4 linked regions of the Diceros bicornis minor genome follow. The protein of the gene in region 3 interacts with the protein of the main gene of each other region in a biochemical or structural test. Links are inferred from orthologs where the notes say so. Each region holds a gene or a part of one and is shown on either strand. Other genes may lie near its edges. The genes, in order: CLDN8, CLDN2, TJP1 and JAM2.

Region 1 (5,712 bases), on a different chromosome or scaffold from region 3:
ATTATAAATCAAGTGCATTAAACACTAAGCTGTTTTTAAACAATTAATGTTAACCTTCTTCAATCTTATCCCCGATTCCCCAGAAAAGCAATAGTTGAATTCTATTTATTCAGTTTAATGGATCAGTATTTCATTTAAAATAGAAGCATACAAGCCTGTTTCTATTTATGCGAGATATAAACGCCACTCTCATCTACATACATAATGCCGTGTCATAGAGAAATCATGGTTGTAAAATAATAGTCTTTAACCATGTCATTTTGAAGTAACTGATAAAGGGAAAAGATGCATGCACCATTTTAGAAATCAAATTACTGTACTTCCTAGAACAATCAAAGCAGTGTGTGTAATATCTCATTCTGCTGAAATAGGTTAGAGAATCATAAATAGCTCGTGCACCGTTCCTGTGATTAATGTTAGGCAGTTAAGAACGGCAAATCAATGTTCCTTTGGGTTCCATTTGTAGAAAATAGTGGACATTTTAGTCATCTGCGTGGTTTTATAGGTAAAGTTAGAAAATGTACACAACTACACATACTGACTTTTGGAGTACACGCTTGGTGACTTCTTCTCCATGTGGTAGCTTTTTTGGGTTGTGCGATGGGAAGGTATGGAGTATCTGTAGCTACTGGTCTTTTCATCGCAACAAGAAACAGAACAGAACAGTGCCCCTCCAGCAATCAGCACCAGCGCTGTGGTCCAGCCTATGTAGAGGGCTTCTCCAAGCTCACGTTTCTGGGCAACATCCACTATTGGGTTGTAGAAATCTCTGATGATGGTATTGGCAACCCAGCTCACAGGGATGAGCACCACGATGCCTGTGATGATGAAGACGATTCCAGCTGTTAGCAAGATGTAACCCTTCACCTTCTCGTCGTCCCCAGTGCACCTGGTACACTTCATGCCAAGGATGGCCATCATGAAAGCCAGGAAGGCCAGCACGCAAGCCGTACACATGAGTCCTCTGGATGCCTGTAGGTCCGGAGAGAGAGCCAGCAGGGAATCGTAGACTTTGCACTGCATTCTGATGTTAGCGTGCCGCATGCAATTCATCCACAGTCCTTCCCAGAGGTTTTCAAAAACCACAATGTTGCTTTCAATGAAGGCAGACACTCTCCACTGAGGCATGATGGTTACAGCCACCGTGCCCACCATGCCAACACCACCAAGCACCAGGCCGGCGATTTGCAGGACATAGGTAGCCATTATCCTCCAGGATGGGTTTTATCCGACTGGATTCCTGAGCCGGTAGGCTGGTTCTGAAGCAAGATTCTCTGTGCCCCAGGAGAGAACAGTTTTCCTGTAGTAATGAACTCAGAACTCAGTGGTTTTTCAAATAAGAGCTGCTTTGCTACTTCTAGCTAGATTAAATCCAGTGTTGGCTGGCTGAGGTGCCCCCCCTGTTGACTAGGACAGGTAAACTTACAAATCAGGTGGGGCAACTTTCTCAGCCAATAAGAGGGGGATGGTAACTCAAGTGTGTCTAAACTGACAAGAGATACTTGGAACGGCTGGACCTGCACATAAACATTCTTTGTACTTCTCAGTTTTCCAAGAGGACAGCAGTACGTTTCCCTGCAGGCATAATTATGAATGTTTGCACAATCATTAAGAAATGCACCAATCCCTTGTGATGTGAAAGGTGCACCTTGTTCGAGCAATTGTGAAACTCAGTAAGAGCTGCTGTGACCAAGATATAAAATAAAATATCTGCCTAAGAAATTTACTAGGACTGTCAAAATGCCAAAGTGAAAGGAGAGTAGGGGGTTGATAGATTTGCTCAGACCTGGGAAACCACATTCTTTGGGACACATATGATCCCAGTGGGTGATTTAATTTGTCTACAACTTTAAAGCAAGCTCAACTGGGGTGAAAACAGGGAACAGATCATGCCAGAGGACAAAATAAGGCTAAAGTAATTAAATACACAAAGTTGTCCTCCTCCATGGCACCAAACACATATTGTTTTGTTTTGAGCCAGGAAAACTACTTGTTGGTATTTTTCTGATAATCTTGATTTGTAAGAAAAAAGTTTGCCAAACTACAAAAAGAATCCATATGATTTTCTTATGTAGCAAGCACTCACAATAGCAATTAAATGATAAAGTGATTTACAGATTGTTGGTATATTTTGTGGCTCTATCTTTGCTGCTCTGTCTTTCTCTGAATTTCTAGAAGCAACTAGAATTCTGCAAATGGTACAAGAGTCCTGGTCTATAGAAATGACTGATATTTCTAAATAAAACATTTACAAGACAAGGTAACTACATTCATTGAATTGAATTATATTAGGTTTTAGCTAAACTTGTCTTTACTACTATGTCTGCAGGAAGTGATAGAAGCCCCCAAGGGTATTGCAATTTGAACTGTCTCTTCTCAAAATAATGATGATGACACCATGGTGCCAAAATAAACATACACGTTGTTTTGGGAAAACAGTACTCCACTAGCACTTTTCTTCTGGAGATCATCACCTCGAGTGCTCTGTCCTGTCTTTCTAAACTTCAAGCTGTACTTTAATAATTTCCTTTCATCTTTACATTTTAAATATGATCTCTTCTTTACAATTTTACTTCCTCTCTGCTTCCTGTACCACCTTAAATGTGAGTATGGGAGAAAGTGCTTCCCTCTCACTTATTAAACTTTGAAAGTTTAATGGTCCAAAAAATGTGAGTGGTTTATAGAGGTTATGAAAACAAAAATGGTACGTGTTAGGGAGGGAAAGAGGAAGATGCCAAAGTAAACTGTCTTCTGAAAAAAAAACAGGAATGTATAGTAGTCCAAGTTGTTATTATTTTATTAGACTGGACATATTGAAAGTAAGAAAAAATTAAAACTTGATATTTACAGTAATTTCCTCATTCATTGAACTGTTAAGAACTAACCTACAGCATGTCCCTAATGCTGACAGAAAATAGCATCTTCTCCCTCAGGCTTGTATTGGCACAGATTTGTGGTGGAGAGGGAAATAGGTTAACCTTGGAAAAATAATCTGTATCCACCAAAGGAGAGTTGCAATCAAAACAGCACGTTTTTTTCTTTATCTTTAATTGCTAACCTGGGAAAGGGGAATGACTGCCAGAATTGGAAAATGAAAAAGAAATGACATGACTGGTTGAGATAACGACAAATTTAAAAAATATACGTTTGTTGAAAATAAAATTGCAACTTCTTTCCAAAATTTGTGTGTGACATGTTTTTTAGGAGCTTTGTTTACATATTGCTGAATATCCAGATAAAAATGGGAAAATTTGAGACAAATAGGTATCTACGTACTTGAGATCTTGGCCTTCCTGGAAACTGCCTCCCAGGTGTGCATTGACGCGTCTGTTGGCTTCATGTACCACCAACACTCTTTCCTTAAGCGCTGAGGTTTACCAGGACCTTATTTCACACAAAAATATTTTCCTCATTTCAAAAATATTAGTACTTTACCACTGGAATTGTCCCCACCAAAAGATTAGGATCGGAATGAGAAGCTAACCCAAGTTTCACATTGGAATAATTATAGAGTTAGCTGCCCTTGCAGAAACTAGCCCAGGGCATCCAGGTAGGATTCTTATCAGACAAGGATCCAGTTAACCCCAGGGCACCCAGGTTTGTTTCTTATCGCACAGTGATCCATTTAATCCCGTGATATTTTGAAATTAACTGTGCTCTAAAGATCACTGGAAATGAGAAAGACAGGGAAAAATGGTAATACCAAGTTTACTAGGGCCCGAAAGGCCTAAATTCAGAGATTAAAAAGTCAATTTACGGGGCCCGTCCCATGGCTCAGTGGTTAAGTGAGCGCGCTCAGCTGCTGGCGGCCCAGGTTTGGATCCCCGGTGTGCACTGACGCACCGCTTCGCCGGCCATGCTGTGGCGGCCTCCCATACAAAGTAGAGGAAGACGGGCACAGAGATTAGCCCAGGGCCAGTCTTCCTCGGCAAAAAAAAAAAGAGAGTAGGATTGACATGGATGTTAGCTCGAGGCTGATCTTCCTCACCAAAAAATAAATAAATAAATAAGTCAAGTTAACTGTTTACCTACTTTTCTATAATACTACATTCCTACTAAGATGATTCACTTGCCTGCAAAATTCAAATAGCAGTAATGGTTAGAGAATTAGGAAATTAATAACATTTTTACTGTTCTTTAATTCAAAACTACAGAGCACAGAGGAACCTGCACAGATTTTTCTATAATTTGTACTTGCATTTCTATGGAAGAACCAAAATATTACCAAGAACCCAAGAAAGAAAAAAGCATGTTCATGTTGACCCACTGTATTCACTCTGGAAATCTCCCTTCGTCTACATTATCAGAAGGATGATTTAAATTTAGCAATTAAGTTTACTAAATTAAATGGTCTGATAACTACATAACACATGCAAATGCTTTCTTTTTAAAAATGAAAACATACAATGTCACTGTCAGGATGCCCTTGTTTTTGTCATCGTTATTCTTACAGCAATTAATCCTAACCAACAACGCTTTAGTCTGGGGTTCCTATTAATTCTTATCACTACTTGAAATAATCTTTGCTTCTGCCAGTCAAGCAGTTGCCAATTTCTATTGTTTTCTGGATTTGTTTTTGTACTTAATTTTCTTTCTTGTGTTGACAATTTTCACCCTGTATTTATTTTTAATTATTTTTCACTGTAAATAAACTGTACTTGGCTGACCATCTTGTCCTAAGAAAACAAGTGAACACATCAATAGATCTCTTTGTTTGTTGTTCCCAAAACAATATTGTGCATTGCTACATGTTCTTCAACTACTATCCTATTTGTCCTGCATGATGATTAGCTGTTCGTGTTCTCTCTTCTTAAAGTTCTGTATCCATTAGCAGTCCTCCACAATCCCACCTCTCTAAAATTTACACTCAATTGCTTTGCTTAAAAATGAACTCCTTCCTGTACAGTAGCTGTCTAGTGTCTTAGCCAGTTCAGGCTGCTTTAACAAAATACAATAGACTGGGTGGCTTAAACAACAGAAATTAATTTTTCACAGTCTGGGGGCTGGGAAGTCTGAAATCAGGGGGCCAGATGGAAGAGTTCTGGTGGGAGCCCTCTTTCTGGTTTGCGGTCTTCTTGCTGTGCCCCCACATGGCACAGAAAGAGAGTGAGAGAGCTCTATTCTCTTTCTCTTCCTATATGGACGCTAATCCCATCAGAAGAGCTCCACTCTCATGACCTCGTCTAAATCTAATTACCTCCCAGAAACCCCACCTCCAAATACCATCACATTGAGGGTTAGGGTTTCAACATATGAATTTTGGGGCGACACAAACATGCTATCCATAACATCTAGCTACCAACAAATCCGAGCAATTAAGTTCACATAATTCTGAAGGGTCTATTATTGCCTCAGGAGTCATCTTTTTTCCAGGATGAAAAAAAAAATAGTGAATATAAATAGACAATAGGAATAATGGTTATTGAAATGATTTTGTCTTTCTTCTACTTTTCATTGTACTTTTTAAAATTAAAATCTGAGTTGTGGTGAATTCTGACATATTTTGGGAGATAGGTCTGCATGCTTTATTGAGTGCAGTGTAATTGATATTCCCCCTAAAGGACTGGAAATCCAGGGAAATAACTTTTTAAAAAATTAAGCTATATACTGTGATATTATTTTCTTTAAATTAACAAGTAATTTCTATGCACAAAATTGACATGAACCTTCCCTAATTGTAATAATTTGGGAAATTTTTTTAAAGGAGCTGGA
Region 2 (7,506 bases), on a different chromosome or scaffold from region 3:
CTTTCTAAAATGGAAAAGCATAAGTGCCACCCACCTCTTTGTAATGCTTAGAAACTTTAGGACCTCTTAATTGCTTTCAGGATGAAGTTCAAACTCTCTAGCCCAGAAAAACCAGGAAAGCCCTCCATTGTCTGACTTCTGCTCTTCTTCCCAGCCTCATATCCCACCAGTAACCTCCAACCTCATGCTTTTTGCTCCTACACATACATAAACACACACATACACACACACACACACACACACACGATCCAGCCATATCTGAATGTGCATACTTCTCTGAATTTGCGTTTTTCTCTGTTTCCAAGCCCTTAAGCATCCACCATTTGCTTGGCTAATTGCTAGTTATCCTTCAGGACTCATCCTCTTCTTGAAACCTTCCTTGGACCCCTCTTCCCACCCAGGCTGGGTTAAATACTTTTCCTTTGTACTTCCTATCTATATCTGGGCATTGAGTGTGAGTGTTGGTAAGCTTCCTTGAGGTTTTTGGGGAGAAGACCTCCTGCCTCCCAGAGGAGCAGCTCCTGCTTCAGAATTCCTGAGATGGTGGCAGAAAAGCCCAGCTTGAGTTTTCCATGGGGGTCAACAGTGTCCCCAAGAGGAGAACCTCTCCCCAGAGCCAATCCTGACTCAGTAGGAAAGTGGTTTGGGCCATGGGGAAGGTGGAGTCAAAAAAATGCCATCACTGAGGCTTGGGATCTCTAGAGAGCCTGATTTGGCATAGCTGGGCAGGAAGAAGAACAAGTTGTTAGAGCTTATTCAATTGGGAGAAATTGCCTAATGGGGGTCTGCTTTTAGCTAGGGTCAGGAAGGCAGTGGTGAACAAAACAGCAAGTGGTTGGGTGGTAGGCCTGACTAGATTCTGCTTTTGTTTCTGCAATGAGCTGTAGAAGGTTTAGAGAAAGAATCCTGGCCTGAGAATCAAAAAACTAGCTTCTCATCTTAGTTCTGCCTGGAACCTTTTGAGGAAGTCCCTTAACTTCTCCAGGCCCTAGTTTGCTCATCTCCAAGGTTTTGAGTCTCAAATAAGGTAATGGGGACAGGAAACCACTTTGACAAATATAGAAGACTGAATAGCTATTAGAAGCAGGCAGGTTTTAAAGAAACTCCTCTCTTTGAGGGATCCTCCTAGAAGTCAAGCCCTGGCTGCTTTGGAAGAACAGAGAACTCTAGGCCTTGCCAGCTGAATTTGTCTTCTGGGCATGGGGCCAACACACTCCATGGCCCAAGGGCTAGGCAAGAAGGCTTCATTTAGGATCTGTACCTAATCTTCCTTAGGGGAGGGATTGGAACTGCAGGAGAAGATTAGGAGGGTCAAGCCTGAGAGCAGCTCCTGAATTAACCCCTTCTTGCCTGGGTACTTGCCCTGCTAGGCTCCTTATTTCTTGCTCCAAGAGTCTTGAGCATGGTACCTCTTCTGTGGGGGCATCCTCATAAGACTGAGTAGGACAGGAGAGGTGGGGTTCTCATGCTCAAGGAAGGACCTGATGTGGCATCCTGTGGGTGTTGGAGGCCATCACAGCCCTCTTCTGTCCGTCAGCCTCATTCCTCCATTCCTTGATCTCACAGCCCCTCATAGGAATCTGAAATACCTGCTCTCCTCTCTGTACCTCACCTCCAGCTGCTGAGGGCTCTAGTAGGTGGCACAGCCATTCCCTTAAAAGCCCTACTTTCTGGAAATTTTGTCCTTGGAGCAGTTCACCTTTCCTTCTGCAGCAGTTAAGTGATGACAGCTCAGGGAACTACAACTGGATTGAGAGATTTTCTAATTGCTTTTAAAAAAAGTTTATTTTTGGCCTGATCATCAAAGTAAAGCACTCTCACTTTAGAACACTAGAAAACACAGAAAGGCAGAATTTAGAAAACAGACATCACCTACAATATCCCCAGCTATAAGTGCTGTTAATGTTTTGGTTCCAATTCCATTTTCAAAGAGGACACTTGAAGAGAATAATGTCTCAGTCCAAAGAAGAAATTTCTTTTTATTATGGAGATATAATTGACACATAACATTGTATTAGTTTCAGGTGTACAACATAATGATTTGATATTTGTATATATTGCAAAAGGATCACCACAATAAGTCTAGTTAACATCCATTACCACACAGTTACAATTTTTTTCTTGTGATGAGAACTTTTAAGATCTACTCTCTTAGCAAATTTCAAATATACAATACAGTATTATTAACTATAGTCACCATGCTGTACATCACATTCCCAGGATTTGTCTTATAACTGGAAGTTTGTACCTTTTGACCCCCTTCACTCATTTCATCCATCCCCCATCTCTACCTCTGGCAACCACCAACCTGTTCTCTGTGTCTATGAGTTTGTCTCTTTTGTTTTGTTTTTTTAGATTCCACATATAAGTAATATCATACAGTATTTGTCTTTCTCTGTCTGACATTTCACTTAGCATAATGTCCTCCAGTTCCATCCATGTCGTTGTAAATGGCAGGATTTCCTTCAAGGAAGGAATTTCTAATGACAGACTTGCAGAACAGCAGGGGAAAATTATTTAAGGGCTTGAGGGGGAGACTTTATGACTTGACTCAGAAATCTACCTTCTCCTGACTCCCTGAGCCTTCATGCCGAGGAAGGCACTGGAGCTGGATGTGAGGAAGCGCAGGGACAAGTCTTCCTCAGCCCCCCACAGTTAGAGGGGTAAACTATAGTTCCTTTCCTCCCATCCTTTTATCTCAGTCCTTTCGCCCTCAAAAGCTCCATTCGAAAATTATTATCTGATTTGGAGAGTGCTTCCTCTGGCGCTGTAGTTTCAAAGACTGGAAACTTGGTGGTAGCCTTGAGGAAACAAATACTACCAACCCAAGTGCTACCTGAATTTTCCCTCCTGTGCTCTTCCCTCAGAAACCCAAGGTGCCCCAGCCTGGCTGCGCCATGGGCCAAATTGAGAGCAACTAGGGAGCAAGAGCCCACAGGTGAATTTAAAAGACAGCAAATAAATCAGAATTGAGACACTTACGAAGCAGTTCTTTTGCAGAGCCTTAGAGGAGATGTATAGCCCTGGAGAGGGAGGAAGGGATCCTGAGGGAGGGCAGCAAGGTGCAAGGGGCCCCAGCCGAGGTGATAAAGTATTTCTAATTGTTAGCCACAGCTTTGCAAAATCCATCTGCAAATCTCAGCCTTGGGTCAGAGACTTATTACAGATCAGAATTAAACCCCTGGAGGCTGTGGAAGATTGAGGTACTTAAAAAAAAAAGTTTGGTGAGTTTTGTGTTTTTCCTGTCAGAAACTCCAGCTGAGCTTTTGTGTGGTGACCTTGGGAGGAGAAGGGTTTGGTCCAAGGAGGAATTCGGAACATTCTAGCTTTGGGGGTGGGGAGAGGAGGGAGCTCTGTTATGCCCATTAGGTGTCCCTGGCTAGCAGTTCTGAGGCCCAGCAGGAAATAAGCCTCGTAAGCACAGCCCTGACGAGCTAGTGCCCAAGCAGCCCTGCACTGCCTACAGCCCCACGGACTCTTCCATCCAGCTTTGTTCTCCAACAAGCCCCTAGCTCTCCCCACCCCTAAGGTTGACCCCAAGGTGCAAGGGAAAATATGTATACTATAGGTTCAGACCCGTGTGACTTCAAAGAGCAGGTCCCTACAAGGTGGGACTGAGATGGCCGTGGTAATTGTGGGCCTCCTCTTTGTACCACACGCAGCAGTACCATACTGTATGTCATCTGAGTCTCTCAAAAGTTCTGTGGAATGGAGTGCAGCGATTGGGTTTGCTCTCCAAATGGAAAAAAAAAAAAAAACTTTCCTGCTTTTTTTCTGATTAGAAACATACTAGATGCTATTGCAAAAAATTCAGAAAATAAAGAAGAAAGTAGAGGTCCTCATAATACTGCCACCAATAGGTATAATGTTAATCATTGTTAACATTTTGCTATACCGTAGAAGACATGAATAGAAATATTTCTTACAAAATTGAATCATGTTATACCGTACAATTTTGTAACCTTCTATCATTTCTAAATAATGTAATGATATGACATTGACATGGTCCATTGACATGGCCCTATTTCCATGTCAATTAAAAAATGGATTTGCATCATTCTCTTATGGCTGCATTGTCTTCTATCACATAAAATATATTTAGCCATTAACTATTAGATATTTTTGTTATTTCCATTTTTTCACTACTATAACCTGGCTTCTTTGCACATAATACTGACAAATTTTAGGAACAGAATTGCTAGGTCAAAGAGTATGAATGCTTTAAAGGCTAATACAACATAATACAAAAGAAGAGCAGCTATTACCATTTCCAGATGAGAAAGCCTATGCCCAATGAGACGAAATGAATGAATTACCCAGCATCACAAGTTGAGCAGTAGGAGTTAGGCCTGAAATCTAGGCCTCTGGGTGTCTGGTTCAGTAAACTTTCCTGTGTACCACATTGACTCTGTCCCAAGGACTCCTATGTAAAAATGATAAGGCCCACTATTCATTGAACACTTTCTGGGTGTCACGTACTGTGCTGAGGGTTTTCATATACATTGTCTCACTGAGCTACTGAAGAGCAGAGCCAGGCCTGGCCACCAAACCTGGCCAACTCTGAAGCTTGGCTCTTAATCATTATGCTCTACTCCGTTTTTGAAGTAATATCAAAGCAAACAGATTTGTTGCCTAGTTTGAATTCAGTGAAGCAAATCAGAAATCATCCTCCTTCCCAAGGTGGCTCATAACTGTCTTGCAGGTGCGAATGGGGTCCCTGATCCCTGGCAATGCTCTTGAGCAGGAGTCTCTCCAGGATGCTACTCCTTGGCAGGCTGGGACAGTCTAAAGGGGCAGTCATGCCTGCGATCAGGCCTGGGGAGTCTTTGGAAATAAAAGCAAGCAAGACTGAAGGGGTGAGAGGGATAGCAGGCTAATCCTCTAACCAGCTGTGTGACCTGGGGCAAGTCTTCACATCTTTCTTCAGGCTTCACCCAACTGACCTTCCAAGGCTAGGCTAATGAATATGAAAGCATTTTGACAAGTAGAAAATGCTGGTTGAGTGCAAGATAGAATTTGTAGTAGAGGAGCACCTCATCAGCTCACAGTGACTCTGTGCAATTGAGGGCAGGAAAAGGCAGAATCTTAGGGGCAGGTGCCAGGGCGGATGAGGGCACTGTGTTGGCAGGATGTGGTTACCAGATTGGCAGTCACTCAAGGACTAGGTTCTAACACTGTGTTTCCTACAGGTCGGTACTGTTGGATCCTGGTGGAATCGTGCCAAAGACTATGACTCCTCAGTGTTGAGCCTAGGAGGCACCTTAGTAATCTGCTAAGACCCCTGCTGAAATCCAGAGAGCCTAGATAGGTAGGGGAATGGAGAGGGGTCTGAAAGAAGAGAGGAAAGAATAGCAGTCTGAGAAAAGCAGTATCTGGTTAAGGAGAATAAAGCGAGGAAAATGTGGGTCTGGGAAGAGATGGGTTAGGGAAGAGAGCAGGAGAAGAAGGGGCTTTGAGGAAGAAAATCTAAGAGAGGTCTGTATAAAGCAGAGTATTGAGGGAGAGAGAAGAGATGGTGCCAAGAAAAGAAAAGTCTAGAAGGAGAAATAAGAGCAATTTTAGGGGCAAAGGGCCAGGGATGAGAGGACTATTGGAGAAGGAGTTAGGGTCCAGGTCAGAGAGAGGATTAGAGACATTCCATCCCATAATTCCACCAAACCAAGAAGTTCTTGTCAAAGTCACGAATGACCCCCATGTCACCAAATCCAATGGCCACTTTTCAGTCTTTAACTTCTTTGAGCTCCATGCAGCATTCAATGCCCCCAATACCTTTGCCCTTCTTGAAATGTTTTCTTCTCTTGGCCTCTGTGATACAACTCTCCCCTGGTGTTCCTCCTATCTCTCTGGCTACTTCTTCATTGACTCCTCCTCCTCTGCCAGATCCTTAAATATAGGTGTTTCTCAGGAGCCTGACCCAGGTCTTTTCACACTGCATTCCTACTCTCAGAAGTTTCTTTTATCTTTCATGGTTTCAATTACCCTGTATACTCTGATGACTTCCAAATTATCATTTTCAGCCCAGCCTTCCCCTCTTAAATTCAGACCTCTATATACTGACATCTCCATTTTGATAGCTCAAAAGCATCTCAAACTGAACATGTCCAAAATTGCATCCTTGATTCTCTTTGAACTAAAACCAACCTTCCCTCAGTCTTCTCTATTTGAGAAATCCAGTTGTTTAAGCCAGAAACTTCAGAATTAGACTTAATTTCACTCTTTTCTCTTTCTCTGACCCTCCACACCCCATCTCATCTGATCTGTAAATCCTTCCAATCCTACCTTCAATATATGGCTCTTTCATCCATCTATTGGTTTCCAATGTCCCCCCATTACCATCGTCTCTCAAAATCTGTGGTCTCAGGACCACTTTACAGTTTTAAAAATTATTTAGGAAACAATCCAATGTTCTTCAACTAGTGAATGGGTAAACAAACTGTGGCACATCTGTACAATGGAATACTACTCAGCAATAAAAAGGAGTGTGCTATTGATACAGGCAACTACACAGATGAAGCTCAAGTGTATTATGCTATGCGAAAGAAGCCAAATTCAAAAGGCTGATTACTGTAGGATTCCATTTATATGGCATTCTTGAAATGACAAGACTATAGGGATGGAGAACAGATTAGTGGTTGCCAGGGGTTGGGAGTAGGAGAAGGGGTTGGCTATAATAGTGTGGCACAGGGAATTATTTGGGATGTTGGAACTGTAATAATTGCTGCATAACTCTATGCATTTGTCAAAATTCATGAAACTGTATACCCAAAAGAATGAATTTTATGCATCCTTCCACATTGTGTCACACAGATTATTCAAATGACCTGTATGCATATTTAAAAATAAATAAATAGGGGCCGGCCCGGTGGCGCAAGTGGTTAAATGCGCGCGCTCCTCTGCGGAGGCCCGGGGTTTGCCGGTTCGGATCCCGGGCGCGCACCGACGCACCGCTTGTTAAGCCATGCTGTGGCGGCGTCCCGTATAAAGTAGAGGAAGATGGGCATGGATGTTAGCCCAGGGCCAGTCTTCCTCAGCAAAAAAGAGGAGGATTGGCATTGGATGTTAGCTCAGGGCTGGTCCTCCCCGCAATAAATAAATAAATAAATAAATAAATAAAAGATATCGTTAAAAAATTATTGAAGACTCCAAAGGGCTTTCATTTTTATGGGTTATATCAACATTTAACATATTAGAAATTAAAACTGATAAATTTTAAAACTATTCATTTTTTAATTTAAAATCACAATGATAAACCCATTGCATGTTAAAATATATAACATATATTTATTAAAAATGACTATTTTCCAAAACAAAAAAATTAGCAAGAAAAGTGGCATTGTATTACATTTCTGCAAATCTCTTTAGTGTCTGAGTATCTGAATAAAAGCAGCTGGATTCTCACATCTGCTCTTGCATTCAATCTGTTGCAATATGTTGTTTTGGTTAAAGTATATGAAGAAAATCCAGCCTCACAAAGATATGTAGTTAGAGAAGAGGGTTATTGAATAG
Region 3 (7,769 bases):
ATAGCATATAGTTGGATCATGTTTTTATATCCATTTTGCTAAACTTTGTCTTTTGTTTGGAATGTTTAGTATAGTCACATTTAACGTAATTACTGATAAGGTAGGATTTATGGATGCCGTTTTCCTATTTGTTTTCTGTATGTCTTATGTCTTTTTTTATTTCTCTGTTACTGCTTTCTTCTGTGCTATGTATTTTCTAGTGTACTCTTTTAATTTATTTATTTCTTTTTCTATATTTTAAAAAGTTATTTTCTTAATGGTTGTCCTGGGGATTACAATTAACTTCTTAACTTAAAATAATCTAGGTAAAATTAATACCAATTTAATTTCAATAGTACACCAAAACTATCCTCTAATATAGCTCCATTCTCTCCCTCCTCCTTTGTGTTATTATTGTCATACAAATTACATATTTATACATTACAAGCCCATCAACAGTTTATAATTTTTGCTGTATGCAGTTGTCTTTAAAATCAGATAGAAGAAAGAGTCTCAAGTAAAAATATTTTTTAATTAAAACATTTTTAATATTAAAAAATGTAAAAATATTTTAAAGTCTCATATATTCAATTACATAGTTGTCTTTACCAGTGTTCTTTATTTCTTTGTGTGGATTCAAGTTACTGTCTACTATCCTTTCATTTCAGCCTGAAGGACTCTTTTGGTATTTTTTGTAATGCATGTATGCTAGTGATGATTTCTCAGTTTTTGTTTATGTGAGAATGCCTTAATTTCTCCTTCATTTTTGAAGGATAGTGTTGTTGGATATAGAATTCTTGGTTAATAGTCTTTCTTTCAGCCCTTTAAATGTCTTCCCTCTGCCTTCTGATCTCCACGATTGCTGATGATAAGTCACAGGTTAATCTTATTGAGGATTCCTTGTATGTGATGAGTTTCTTTTCTCTGGCTCCTTTCAGAATTCTCTCATTGTCTTCGTCTCTCAACAGTTTGATTACTGTGTGTCTAGGTGTGGACTACCTTCAGTGTATCCTACTTGGAGTTTTTTGAGCTCCTTAAATGTGAAGATTAATATTTTTCATAAAATTTGAGAATTTTTCAGTCATTATGTCTTCAAATATTCTGTGTCCCTTTCTCTCTCTTCTTTCCTTCTGGGACTTTATCATATGTTGGTATGCTTAATGGTTTCTCATAGGTCTCTGAGGCTCTGTTCATTTTTCTTCACTGTTTGCTTTCTGTTCCTCAGACTGGATAATCTCAATTGACTTATTTTCAAGTTCACTGACTCTTACTTCTGCCATTTCAAATATGTTGTTGAGCCCTTCTAGTAAATTTTTTATTTCAGTCATTGTACTTTTCAACTCCAGAGTTTCATTATTTTTTAAAATTTCTGTCTGTTTATTTATATTATCTATTTGGTGAGACATTGTTCTCATACTTTCCTTTAGTTCTTCAGACATGGTTTTCTTTGGTGAAGATATTCATAATAGCCAATTTAAAGTCTTTGTCCAATAAATCCAATGCCTGGGCTTCCTCAAGGGCAGTTTCTATTAACTGCTTTTTTTCCCCTATATATTGGCCATATTTTTCTGTTGCTTTGCATGTCCTGTAATTTTTTGTTGGAATCTGGACATTTCGAATAATATAACGTGGCAACCCTAGAAATCATATCCTTGCCCCACTCTCCAAGGTTTGTTGGTGGTGGTGTTTCTTGTTGTGGTTGTTTTGTTCATTTAGTGACTTTGCTGGACTAATTCGGTAAAGTCTGTATTTTTGTCATGTGTGGCCACTGAAGTCTCTGCTTAGGTAGTTTAGTGGTCAGCTAATTATTGGACAGAGATTTCCTTAAATGTTTGGAACCATTAAGTCTCCCAGCCTTTGCTGAGAGGCTGTGTGTGTTGGGGGATGCCTTCAACATTCTGATAGGTAGTTTACAACTCTTCCTTAACCTTCACTTTCTGCTTGCACTGAACCTCAAGGTCACCCAGAAGCGAGAGATTAGGGCCTTCTCAGGTGTTTCCTGAGCATGTACACAGTCCTACATGTGCACATGGCATTCTGGAGTCCCAAGAATGTCGAAGTTTTTCAAGGCATCATACGGAGCCCCATTCTCCACTTTTCCTTTTAATTTTTCTGGTTAGCCGCTTGTTAGCCCCAATGGGTTTCACTGCCTCAAGCAGCTTGTGATGCTAAACAATTGTTACTGATTGTTTCTGACAAATGCCCTAGGGATAGGGCTGTTTGCACAGAGTGAGATCCTGAGCCAGCCAGGTCAAATAAAGACAAGCACTGTAAATGGAGCTTTTCAGGGTGCTGCCAACAGGTCAAATAATGACAATTATCTGAGGATAGGGCTTTTGAGGAGCTCTAAGCCCATTAGCGGCTGCTAGTCAACTGGTTTTCAATACTACTTTAGTTACGAGGCTGTTGGTTTACAAGGCTACGGCAGAGTTGGAGAGAAGGGGATGGGAACTGGGCAAGTCAAAATACTATAAAGCTCACCGTTCTAAGATTCAGTAATTTTTTTGTACAAACATTCTTTGTATTGTTGCAAGCCTTTGGTTAATTTCTGGAGTTCTGGAAAGGTTGGTTTTGACAAATTATAGCCACTGCTCACCTTTTATGGAGAAACAGATTATCTGCCATTCTGCAAGTGCTTCTACCAGTTTATTTTTATCTCTCATTATCCTGAATTGATCTCTTCAGCCTCCAGTTGTCAAAATCCTTGAGTACAGTGCAGTATTTTCATCAAATATCTTACCAGTAATATGACAAGGTGGTGCAAAAGGCCAAGCGTACATTAGAAACGGTACATACATAAGTACAGGCCCTGATATTTTTTAAAAGTACTGCTCCAAGGTCTTCTCCCATGTGTGGATATATATTTGAAGTGTCAAAGATCTTCTAATTCCTCATTTTATGTGAGAGCTAAAACTTATGGATAAATGAAAGTGAAATAGATTTAGACCTGCTTTCCTACCAAAGTGACTGTGAAATTATGTTGGGAGCCCAAACTAGGAGACTGTTTTGTTCTAATCTTACGTGCTAATTAATTTGAAAATGCAGTGTTTAAATAGAGGTACAAGAGGGATGCACTGTGGAGGGAGGGTGTTAATGTTTGATAATTCTGCCTGGTGGATGCACAGGCACTTGTTATCTGTACTCTTCATATATACATCCTATACACACACATACACACACACACACAAACAAACAGGCAGTCCTTGCTCTGCAAGTTCAGATATGCCTGATGTTAGCTACTATGGCTCAGTTAAATAATACCAGTTGCTCAACAGTATGGTTCAAATTTCAGCTATCATGGCATATTAACTGTAAGAAAATGCATATAGCGCAAACGCACGTAGTATAAACTTCGCTGCTAGCTCTTTAGTCCACAAAGCACAACACAATAACATGTGCATCATGATCAGTGACCAATCACAGTAGTTCTTTCAAAGTCTGTTAGTCATTGGTCACTGCTGCACCTGTTATTCAGTTTATGCAGCCAACTGTGCAGTTGTGTTGCCTCCTCTTCTCCCAGTGATAAACCTGTACAACATTGCATAAAAATGGGTAATTGAAAGAGGGAATTAGCCAGCAAGATGAAAGTGCAGCAAAGAAAAAACAATAAAGATGGAAATGAAGTAAAATTCGAATGGAATGTAAATGGAGTTACAGAAAAAATAGGCAACTGTGGGAATGTTGACTCTGCTGCCTTTCCAGAGACTCTAGACACGCAGCCAGAAGAACTTAGTAAATGTGAACTTGAATGAGGAAAGTGGTTGTGACAAAAAGGATGAGGATGTCCCAGAGGACGTCACATTAAAGGAACTCTCTGATATATTTCATGACATTGAAAGTACAGAGGATAAAATGCTGAAAGTGACCCAAATATGATGCTCTGCCAAGGCATAGAAAAGACGCTCTCTCAGTATATAACAATTCTACTAGCAGAAGACAAGAGCTGTGCAAGTTACTCTTAATAAGTTTTTCTTACAGAGAAATAAAACACTTTAATTCTCAATCTTTGTAATGTTCTAAGTCACACTATTAAGTGATTAGTTTTACTATTTTTTTTTTTTATTTCTCTATACATTATCTCCATCAGTGAAGAGAGTTTGGAATGTTTTGACAAAATTTTTAAAGGTCATGGAACAATCTCCATTTTTCCCAATGATTACGAAGATAGTTTCGCGTGGTTCAGGTCATTTCCACAATCCTGAACTGCCTGGCATGCAAGCGAGGACTGCATATATGTATATATATACACACATACACATATATACGCATTGTATATGTGTACGTATATACATATACATGCATTTTATATATACACCAAGTCTGCAAACACTTCAGGCTAGAACTGATGGTTACAAGCTATTAAGTGGTAATTATAAATTAAAAAATTAATTTTTTCCTCTCTGGAAGCTTGTCGTTAGGATCCCTTTGGAGCAGAAACGGTCGGAGATGAGTTCCCGTCAGCCGCCGAGGAAACTGAGGCACGCGGGGGCGCCGGGCCTGGGCGGCGCCGGTGGGCGGGGGCGGCGCCCCGGCCTCACCCCGCCGCTCCCGGAGCCGGCACACCGCCAACCCGGCCGCCTGTGAGGCCCGCGCCGCCCGCGGCTTGCGGGGTCGGAGGGGGGCGGTGCGGGAGGCGGCGGCGGGAGCGGCGGGCCACGCACGGCGGCGGCGGGAGCGGCCGGGCACGCACGGCGACGGCGGCGGCGGGAGCGGGGGTCCTGGCCACGCACGGCCGCGGTGGCGGCGGCTTCGGGAGCGGGAGCGGCGGGAGCTGTGGCGGCGGATGGCCCAGAGCTGATCTATGCGGCGCTTGGAGGGGCTGTGTCTGCGGCGCCGGCGGCGGCGGCGGCGGGGCCCTGCCCGCGAGCGGAGCGGGGACAAGATGAAGTACCAGAAATACCTGACGGTGCTGCAGATGGCCATCGGCGTCACCCCCTCCAACCGCGGCAGCCTCCTGCCGCTCAAGAGGAAGCTGTGGTGAGGGCGCGGCGGGCGCGGGGCCGCAGCCCGGACCGGGCGCGGGTTGGGGCCGGGGCCGGGGCCGGGGCGGGCCGGCGGCGGCCGGGCCCGACGGGCGCGGAGAGCGCCGGGCGCAGCAGCCATTTCGGAGCCCCCTGGGCCGAGCGCCTCGGCGTCCCGCGCTCGCACGGTCGTTTTCCGCTGCGACCCTCGGCGGTGCCCGGCGACACGCAGAGCGGCGCGCCGCGGGAGGGAGGGGCCGGAGCCGCCGGCTGACGGGCGCCCGGGCACCCACCGTCTCCCGCCGGTGTCTGTCCCTTCAGCTCCATTGCAGCGAGTTCGGGCTCGGGATTGCAAGCCAGGCTTTCTTGCAGGCAGCGAAAAATTTAGCATCACAGTATGCGTTTTCTGTTATTTCTCAAAACCCGTCTGCTCTTGGGTACCTAGTAAAGGACGAGCCGCTCCCACAGTAAGGGGAATAAGTTGCGAGATTATAATAAGGGGAATAAATTGCGAGATTATAATTGCATTATCAAGGACTATATTTTATCTGCATGTGTCTTAGTTCCTCCGACCTGGAAACTGTTATTGGGGTAACAGGAAAAGAACGCCTTTAGAGAAGAATGTCTGGACGTTATCCAGGTCAGGTTTACATAGTTGATTATCTCTCAGATTGTATTGCCTTTTATTAGTATTTAAATATGTCATATGGAATCCCAGTGGCTGCCTAGGCACTCTCTGGACTTGCGACTTAGGCGTAAGGTGCTATGACAAAAGAAATAGTCAAGTAAAGGGATGGTGACTAAAGAAAAAAGATGCCAGTGATCTTGGTATTCAGTGGTCATTTTAATTTTAAAATTTGTGGTCAATGTAGTTCATAAAGGTTTTATACAATTCAATTGAACATAGTCTAATTTAATTTTAAGGTTATAGAGAAAAGGAAGTAAGGCTGTTTTTAGGCATTTGGGGAAAGTAATTTCTGCTATATCAGACAAATGAGAAAATGATCCAAGGAATATAAAGATTGAGCACCCAAAAAAAAAGAGGAGTTAAAAAAAAAGAATCCCAAGAGTAGAGAATTTTCGAGATAAGACCAAAAAGTATAGGCAGCAAAGTTCAGATTTAGCTGTGCCACTTACTGTGTGACCTGAAGCAAGTTACTGGAGTATCTGTTTCTTCCTCTGTAAAATGAGAATGTTATCTACCTCATGGGGTCATATGCAGATCAACTGAGATAATGAATATGAAGTGCCTGCCACTATGTCTGGCTCAATAATAGATACTTAGTAAATGTTAGTGTCTTCCTCCTTACCCCCCACCTCAATTTGTTTAAAAAAAGAGAAATTTATTCTGCAAAAGGTAGTTTAACTTGATGAACAGCAACTGACAACACATCGAAGACTAGACTGGTAAAAATTGGCAGTAATTGAATTAATAAATGTCCATGGAAGAAGATTTTGCAAATATATGAAGATTATGTCGCTATTATGAAGCAAGAAACAGTAACATTTGAAGATGACTTTTCAGATTGATGGTGTACAGGAAAAATAAAAAGAGATCAGCACCAACAGTCTTATCCCCACCCTCCCACCACCATGTTTTTCTCCTGGGCACTTAGCAATATCTAACCCACTACATACTTTACTTCATTTTCATATATGTCGCCTCTCACCGCACTAGCATTTGCATGGGGACAGGGCTTTTGTCTGTTTAGTTCATTACTAAATCCCCTGCAACTAGTATCTGGTGCAAAATAGGTTCTAGAAAGACATATGTTGAATAAATGAATTCTTAATAATGCATAACTGGGAAAGAAAATTTTCTCGATGTTAAATTTAAAAACTAAGATGTCGGAATAATGTCTGAGGAGCCATTAGGCATGAATATTAGCAGCACTTGGTCACAAAGCCAGGAAACTAGATTTATTCTTTTTCATAATTGGAGTGCTACTTCTGAAAATACATTCCTCAATACAAAGTTTGTGAAGAGAGAACTTGATAAGATAAAATCCAGGTAACTTTTTTACTCTGGGGAGTCACATTTGAGGCAGGCAGTGAACTGGGGACAGGATTAACAACTGTCTTACTAGGAGACGGCCTGGGAAAGGGCAGGGGGATTTTGTTGAACTTTTCCACAATCTTAAACAAGCATTTCAGAATTTCCACTCAGCGTTAAGTGAATTTGCAAACGTTTATCTAGTTTCTACAGTGGGAAAGTGAGGAGCATACGCTACAAAAACTGTGGAGTGGGTGGTACTTTTAAACACAGATGTCACAGATGTATAATCCTTTTTTTTTTTCTTTAAGTTAGAGAATATTGTGCTGCTTGATTAATCTATCTGTTATATCCTCTGGAATTGATTTTGTAGATAACATTTCATTTCGCCAGTGTCGTAGCAACTGCACGTGGAGAATTTGACACGGAAGGCACCGTTACATGGCTAGAAGATATGAGGGTGTGGGTTCTGACTCCAGAATGGTGGGTGGGAACCAATAGCAGATATATGTCAGCAGTGTATGTCAGACCTTGAAATGCACCAGCTTATGCCCATTTACAAGATGTGAGGGTATACTATGATAATTGGTTGTGGCATATATGAAGATTTATATGAAGATGTTTATGAAAATGTGTATACTCTCTGTGTTTCTCTCTCTTTAAATTATTGCAGTCTGTGTGGAAAGACAGCATGCCTGCAAAGCTTATGCCAGTGTAAGTAAAGGGTAGGGTTGAATGATCCAGTGCTTTATCTCCACACTTCTATCTAGTTTGGCCATTTGTGCTCATCAGCTTTCCTTTGCGCAACATCTTTCTGTCTTTGTGATTGGCTCTGT
Region 4 (6,981 bases), on a different chromosome or scaffold from region 3:
GCACACCTAGTGTCCAGATCTTGGTTTCCAACACCATTCTCCAATAAAAGGAACTAGGGCTCCTTGGAGATATGGCTGATTCTAGGACTAGAGCAGGAAATATGCAAGATCCGTTGGGAGCATTTTATAGTGCCAAAAAGTAAGGAAGTGCTAAAAACAAACAAAAACTAAAATGCATATATACATGATGGGGATATGTCACGGGAACATAGGAACCACTGAAAGAACTCCCAATGGTCAAAGCTGGAACAATCTGTGCAATAAACTAAATAAAATAGTATTGGACTATAATCCAAAGTATAAAATAAATATTCATGAGCCCATACTGATATAAAAATGAATGGCTGAATGAATGAATGATTGGGGAAGGAGGGAAAGACACATCTCCCAAGCAGAAGAAGTCCAAATAATTATAGAGATACTACACCTTCAAGGAGGTGGAGCATAACTCTTCTTCCTTAAGTGTGGGTTGTACATAGTGACTTCCTTCCAAAAATTACAGCATGAAAAGAGGAAAGAAAGGGCGACCTATGGATAAACCTGACATAAGTTACCTCAGCCAGGTGATGAAGGTTAACATCAACAGTGATAGGTCATGTTCATAGTATGTACCCTTAATATGAGGTGATGAAAATAGCTCTTTACACTTCTGTGGTCTTCCTCCTAAAAAACCCATAAACCCAATCTAGTCATGAGAAAAGCATCAGAGAAATACCAACTAAGGGTATTCTACAAAATACTTCACCAGTACTCCTCAAACCCATCAAGGTAATAAAAGACAAGAGAAGTCTGAGACACTGTCACAGCTAAGAGGAGGCTAAGGGGACATGATGACTAAGTGTAATGTGGTGTCCTGGATGGGATCCAAAACAAAAAAGGACATTAGGTAAGAATGAAGGAAATCTGAATAAAGTGTGGACTTTACTTAATAATAATGTATCAATATTGGTTCATTAATTGTGACAAACATATCATACTAATGTAAAATATTAACAATGGGGGAAGTGGGTGTGGTGTATATAGGAACTCGCCATAATATCTTCACAATTTTTCTTTAAACTATTCTAAAATTTAAAAATTTATTTTAAAAACGAAAAGAAAACATTCTTGCAATGCTAGACCTTTTGGCATACCAAGAACAATATAGAAAATATCCACACACACTTCCAAATTAATCCCCTAGAGGAGTGAGAGTTAGAAGAGCCAATGCCTTGGATTTACCCAAAGCTTGAAGAAGAGGTTATTCTGCCCATTCATCTAAACCTTAGTTTACCTCTTGGTTGTTTCTTGGCTACAATTTCAAATTTAGGGTGTATTGTTTCTGTTTTGATTACTAAATAGGGATAGCAGAGTAAGACCATTTTCTGTTTTTAACCAGTGACAATTCTACACTAAAGTCAGTCTTTTTTATTTGAAACGTAAGATTGTCAGTGGAATACATAACTTTCCCAGTAGTTTTGTTACAATTCCTTCAGCCTGCGTCTTTGTTGCCTTTCAGCATTAGTGCATTTTTTCCCCTGTGTGTCCATCATGATACCAACTGATAATTCAAAACTGCATAATGGTTTTATTGTGAAACCTTGCCTTTCTAGTTTGATTTTCTCTAATACAGGTCAGCACACGCCCCTTCACTGAGACAACTGGCACCTTCCTCCCCCACTGAGGGACAATGCCCACATCACCTTGAGCTGAGCAATACTCACTTCGGCAATGAGAGCGTGAGAAAAAGTCACTGGATTATAGTATTAGACACTCATCTGGCTATTTTAAGTATTTTATTACCAGAACTTGAATAGCAACAATAATCCATACTATTAAAAAAAAAAAAAAAGGAAAGAAAAAGAAAAGGAAAACCGAAAGAAAAAAGGAGGGCTTCATTGCTTAAGTGCTTAAATTCTATTGTAATTTCTTCCATTTTCCTAAAAAGTTAACGCGAAGAAAACACAATAATAGGAAACGTTCCCAGGATTTTAAATCTCTTAAGTCCAGAATCCGTGAAAATCTTGTTTAGAACCATCCCGTGAAATTGGCTTTGGGACGTCCGCCTGCTCCTCGATCATTCAGCTTCTGCATCTTTCTAACAATCATCCCGTCGGACGTCCCCTGAGGACACAGCAGCTGGCTGGAGTCCCCAGACCAGACTTTTCTAACTGAATGTGGATGCGCAGGTGGAGAGGATAAAAGTAATTCTGGCACAGCAGCCACGAATTCCCCCACCCCCCGCCCCACAAGTGCACTGCGTATTGCCGGCACAACTGGGGCCCTCGGAAGCCCAGAAAACTCGAACACTGCCCCCTCCTCTGGTACTTAGAGTGTGGCCGGCGCCTGCCTCCGAGCGATGCCATCTTGGGATCTTAGCATCTTATAACGCGTTAGTGAGTTTTGCATTCTGTTCACGTCCCTGTGTCTTTGAAAACTTAACCCAACTTTGCACGAAGACGAGAACCTACTGGTGTGCACCGTTAATTTTCTCTAACTAGAAATGACAAAATCAGATGCTATTTACAATAAACCGAAGACACCAGCCTCCCGCCCTCGAGCCTGCCCGCTCGCTGGGCGCCAAGTCAGATGCCCCGCGGCAGACCCTCAGCCCAGAGCCCCGGAGACAGCTCTCCACGAGCGCCGCGTGCAGGCGCTGGAGGTTTCGGGGAGCTGGTCCCAGCAGGAGAGAGCGGGAGGGTGGAGGGACCCCAGCAACTTACAGCCCAGGGCGACCACCAGGTAGCGCAGCAGCAGCAGGAGGAGGCGGTGGCGGCTCCTCCTCGCCATCTTCCCGGGGTCTCGAGGGTCCCGGTGGCCGGAGCGCGGGAGGCCGGGCGGAGGGACCCTCAACTTCTGGGGTGGGAGAGGAGAGTCTCGTGCAGCGGAGGGGAGGGGAAGGGCGGACCCTGATAGGGTGTCAGTTTCCCCTTCCAGGGGCGCCTTCTCAGCCGGCTGCCTACGAGGCAGGTCTGGCCTGGCTGGGGGCTGGGGGGTCTGGGGCGTTCTTTTTTGGGGGTTGCGGGTGAGAGGGGGGCGGGTCGTGGAAGCCGGACGAGGTGTCAGCTGGGTCCTCATGAGCAGGCAGAAGGCGAACAGCGGAAGGAAAGCCCTGGCTGGGCGTCCCCCCGCCCCCGCGCCGCTCGGATTGAGCCGCTTTGTGTCTGGTCGGCGGGGGGGCTGCCAGCTGTCCCCAGGGCGAGGAGCCCCGGGCAGGAGGCGCGGGCTGCTGGGCGGGGTGGGGGGGCACGGTGGAGCGGGGAACTCCGCTTGCCTTGCTCCAACTCCTCTCCTCCCCTCCTTGGCACAAAACTTGTTTCTGGATTTTCAGCCTAGGGGTGGAGATTTTTGGAAAATTTCTGGCCAACGGGCGAAGCTGCGGGGGAGGCGCTCTGGGGGGGATGGGGTTCGCCGGCCGCGCCTTGGACGCGAGGGGGTAAAAACAGCAATCAAGACTCGTGCTGGAAGGCAAGTCTCAGAATTTAGCAATCGCCTTGGCCCCTTCTCAGTGTAAGCTTTTTGCTCCTTGGAGAGAGTTAAGGTGTGTTTTGTGTTCTTTGCTTTTCACGTGTCAGAGTTGGAAGTTCATCTAACGGTGTGAAATATTTATCGTGTTTCTTTCCAGTTACATAACTGCCGCCTGTGGAGTTTTCCACATGTTAAAACTCTACAGCTGACCTTCGTCAGATTTATTTTTGGTCTACTGTGCTTTTAAAAGGGAAACCCATTATGAATGCTCTGTTGCGTGCTTTAAAATTGACCCGCACTTGTACTGCACACACTACAAAGGCTGAACAGGCCATTTTTATATTTGCTCCTAGGGACCAAAAATGTCTGGTGCATTCAAGAGTATTGACAGGTTTAGAAAAAGGCCATTCCCAAGAGAAGAACTTGTTATACATCTTTTTGTTGTTGTTGTTGTTAGAGGTAGAATAATGGATAAAGTTCTGTATAGAAGACAGTAGATTTAGTGGCAAGCGAGGGAACAATTTAGCTAGCTCAGTGGACAAAGGCGACCAGAGTTTAAATATGCAGAGCTGTGAGGAATGAGGCATCCCCGCTGTTTCCTTGGTGACAGTGATGGAAGCTTAATACCCATGGTGGGGAGAGGGGCAGAGGAACCAGGGAGCCCAGAAAGGAAAGTCAAAATGGCAAAAATGTTAGAGTTCATACTCCAGTCAAGTAAGGAGAAGGGACACAGATTTAACAGGCTTATATGCCAGTTTTTCTGGGCAGTAACAAGAAAGATTTAATGCTCCACAAGAAAAGTTGTTGGCATCCTCTTTTCTCATTCTTGCCACATCTGCATGTCTTTTTTTGGTGCTCCCTAAAGATACACACAAAAAAGGCATACTTTAAAAAAATTATTGTTCTTTGAGACCTACGTGAATAATTGATTCACTCAGTTGCTTATTTGTCACCCAGTCAAGGCATTTGTCAAATAGCTACACTGTGCCGGATGCTGGCGGACAATGGTGAACAAGATCAAGTCTTTGCTGTTAATGAGCTCACAGTCTTGAGGAGAGAGGGAGTCCCATCTGGAAAGACCTCTGATACCATGTGGTAAGTGTTCCGGGAGGACAGAAAATAGTAACAACAGTTTTTTATTGAGTGCTTCCTCAGTGGTAGAGTCTGAATTGTGCAATATCTAACCCCCCAACAACTCTGTGAGGGAGAAAGTTTATCATTCCCACTTGAAAGATGAGAAAACTAGGCTGAGAGATGCTAAATAGCTTGTTTGAGGTCAAGGATAAGGGGATGTTCCTCTGTTGGGGATGGGTGCAGGGCTTTCTTTATTAGGCATTGAAAATGGAGTCAAATTTTGAAAGGAAGGAAATAAGGGAAGGGCATTCTAGGTAGAGCAAAGAGCAGGATCAAAAGCTGGGAGATGTAAAAATTATGGCTTGTTTAGGAAAAGTAAGTTTCAATAGCTCTAGGGTACACATGGAATTAAGGGCAGAGAGGTGACAGAAACTGAAAAGAGGGTTGGACTATGAGGGTCATTCAGTATTACACTACAGACTCTAGACTTTATCCTGTAGGTAAAGAGCTTTTTGAAAGCACTAAGGTAGGATATGAAAAAACCCATATTTTAAAACTGTGCTGTCCAATATGGTGGCCTCTAGATCCATGTGGCTATATAAATTTGAATTCAATTAAATTTATAATTCTGTTCTCCAGTCACACTAGCCACGTTTGAAGTTCTCAGTAGCCACATGGGGGTAGTGGCTACCCTACTGGACAACGCAGATGTAGAGCATTTCCATCATCACAGAAAGTTCTATGAGACATTGCCACCTTAGGATGATGATGCAAATGGAAATGTAGAGAATGGACTCGAGATAAGAGAATCAGAATATTAGACAAGTCTGAAAACTGTTGTGATGTCCTGAGACAGAGATGAGGCATGAAGTAAATGGTCACAGTGGGATAAATGAAGAAGCAGGTAGAGTCAAATGATATTTCCCAAACCTGGTCAGCAGGATGATGTCATCAATTAGATATGTGAGAAAAGGGAGAAGTTGTAGGTAACTGAGATTTCTAGCCTAGGTGGATGTATGGGGTGGTTATACAGAGCATCATTAACTGAATAAGAAACATAGGGAGCACACATAGTTCCGGCAGGTTTGGGATGAGTTGACTGAGGGTTATCAGCTTAGATGACCAGCAAACTGTTAGAAAGATTGGGCTAGAGCTTAGGAAACCCTCAGCATTGACTCAAGAAATAAATGTAGATATCATCAACATCTCCTAGAACAGTGATTACCAAGATTCTGCTCCTCAGAATCCCCTAGAGATCCTCAAATGTGATTCTCTGCTTAAAATTATGCCAAAATTCTGAGTCCCAGAAGTTTCCATCTCAGGGGCACCTGGGAAGCTGTATTTCTGACAAGCACCCTGGTTGATTCTGATGCACATAGTTTATGGACTATTTGAGGACCTTTCTAGAAGACAAGAGAAGCCATGAGAGTGAATGAAGGAGATCAATCAGAAAAAGAAGTGAATATTTATGTGGAGATAAATCCAAGGAAATAAATCCAATAAGAGGTAGGAAGAAGACCAATGCAAAAAGAGTGAATCTAGACACAGATCTTACACTTTTCACAAAAATTAACTCAAAATGAATCATAGACCGAAATGTAAAATGCAAAACTATAAACTCCTAGAAGATAACGTAGGAGAAAATCTAGATGATCTTGGGTTTGGTGATGACTTTTTAGATACCACACCAAAGGCATGATCCATGAAAGAAAGAATTGGTAAACTGGACTTCATTAAAATTAAAAACTTCTGCTCTGTGAAGGACAATTTCAAGAGAATTAGAAGACAAGCCACAGACTGGGAGAAAATATTTGCAAAAAAAAAAAAAATATATATATATATGATAAAAGACTGTTATCCAAAATATACAAAAAACCCTTAAAACTCAACAATAAGAAAATAAATCTGATTAAAAAATTGGCTAAAGACCTTAACAGACACCTCACCAAAGAAGATATATAGATGGCAAGTAAGCACATGAAAAGAGGCTCCACATTATATGTCTTCAAGGAAATGCAAATTAAAACGACAATGAGATACCACTATATACCTATTAGAATGACCAAAACACAGAACACTGACAACACCAACACCACCAAATGCTGGCAAGGGTGTGGAGCAAAAGGAACTGTGAGAATACAAAATGGCACAGCTGCTTTGGAAGACAGTTTGGCAGTTTCTTACAAAACTGAACATACTCCTAGCATATATGATCTGTTTCTACCGTCAGCACTTCTGACACTAAATGTATGGGTTTTTTTCCCCCTCACTCCAAACAATTCTTCCACTTTCCAAACACCATGTAGGTGTTTTATAATTCAGTTCAATTCTGATGCTAACTACCCAGAATTAGTGCATACCCAGTAGGTTAAGGGCTTAGTCCCACAACTCTACCTTCATTTCAGACTCCAATTGCAAGTATTGGGTACCCAAGGTACCCACACGTCTGTCTGACTTGCC

What was found.
Region 1: the proteins of TJP1 (region 3) and CLDN8 form a complex in vitro, tested with the Homo sapiens proteins (2 studies listed by BioGRID and IntAct, with this or other methods). The link is inferred for Diceros bicornis minor from reciprocal best matches to the Homo sapiens genes TJP1 and CLDN8.
Region 2: the proteins of TJP1 (region 3) and CLDN2 form a complex in vitro, tested with the Homo sapiens proteins (2 studies listed by BioGRID and IntAct, with this or other methods). The link is inferred for Diceros bicornis minor from reciprocal best matches to the Homo sapiens genes TJP1 and CLDN2.
Region 4: the proteins of TJP1 (region 3) and JAM2 form a complex in vitro, tested with the Homo sapiens proteins (2 studies listed by BioGRID and IntAct, with this or other methods). The link is inferred for Diceros bicornis minor from reciprocal best matches to the Homo sapiens genes TJP1 and JAM2.

The regions. Positions count from the first base shown.
Region 1 is NC_080766.1:30,990,727-30,996,438, forward strand, and holds CLDN8 (claudin-8), read right to left. Parts: upstream 1,207-5,712; coding exon 529-1,206; downstream 1-528.
Region 2 is NC_080781.1:99,660,659-99,668,164, reverse strand, and holds the start of CLDN2 (claudin-2), read right to left. Parts: upstream 3,005-7,506; 5' UTR 2,983-3,004; intron 1-2,982. UniProt on the Homo sapiens protein: Forms paracellular channels: polymerizes in tight junction strands with cation- and water-selective channels through the strands, conveying epithelial permeability in a process known as paracellular tight junction permeability.
Region 3 is NC_080744.1:79,819,348-79,827,116, reverse strand, and holds the start of TJP1 (tight junction protein ZO-1), read left to right. Parts: upstream 1-4,763; 5' UTR 4,764-4,780; coding exon 4,781-4,956; intron 4,957-7,769. UniProt on the Homo sapiens protein: TJP1, TJP2, and TJP3 are closely related scaffolding proteins that link tight junction (TJ) transmembrane proteins such as claudins, junctional adhesion molecules, and occludin to the actin cytoskeleton.
Region 4 is NC_080766.1:26,994,698-27,001,678, reverse strand, and holds the start of JAM2 (junctional adhesion molecule B), read right to left. Parts: upstream 3,015-6,981; 5' UTR 2,770-3,014; coding exon 2,703-2,769; intron 1-2,702. UniProt on the Homo sapiens protein: Junctional adhesion protein that mediates heterotypic cell-cell interactions with its cognate receptor JAM3 to regulate different cellular processes. Plays a role in homing and mobilization of hematopoietic stem and progenitor cells within the bone marrow.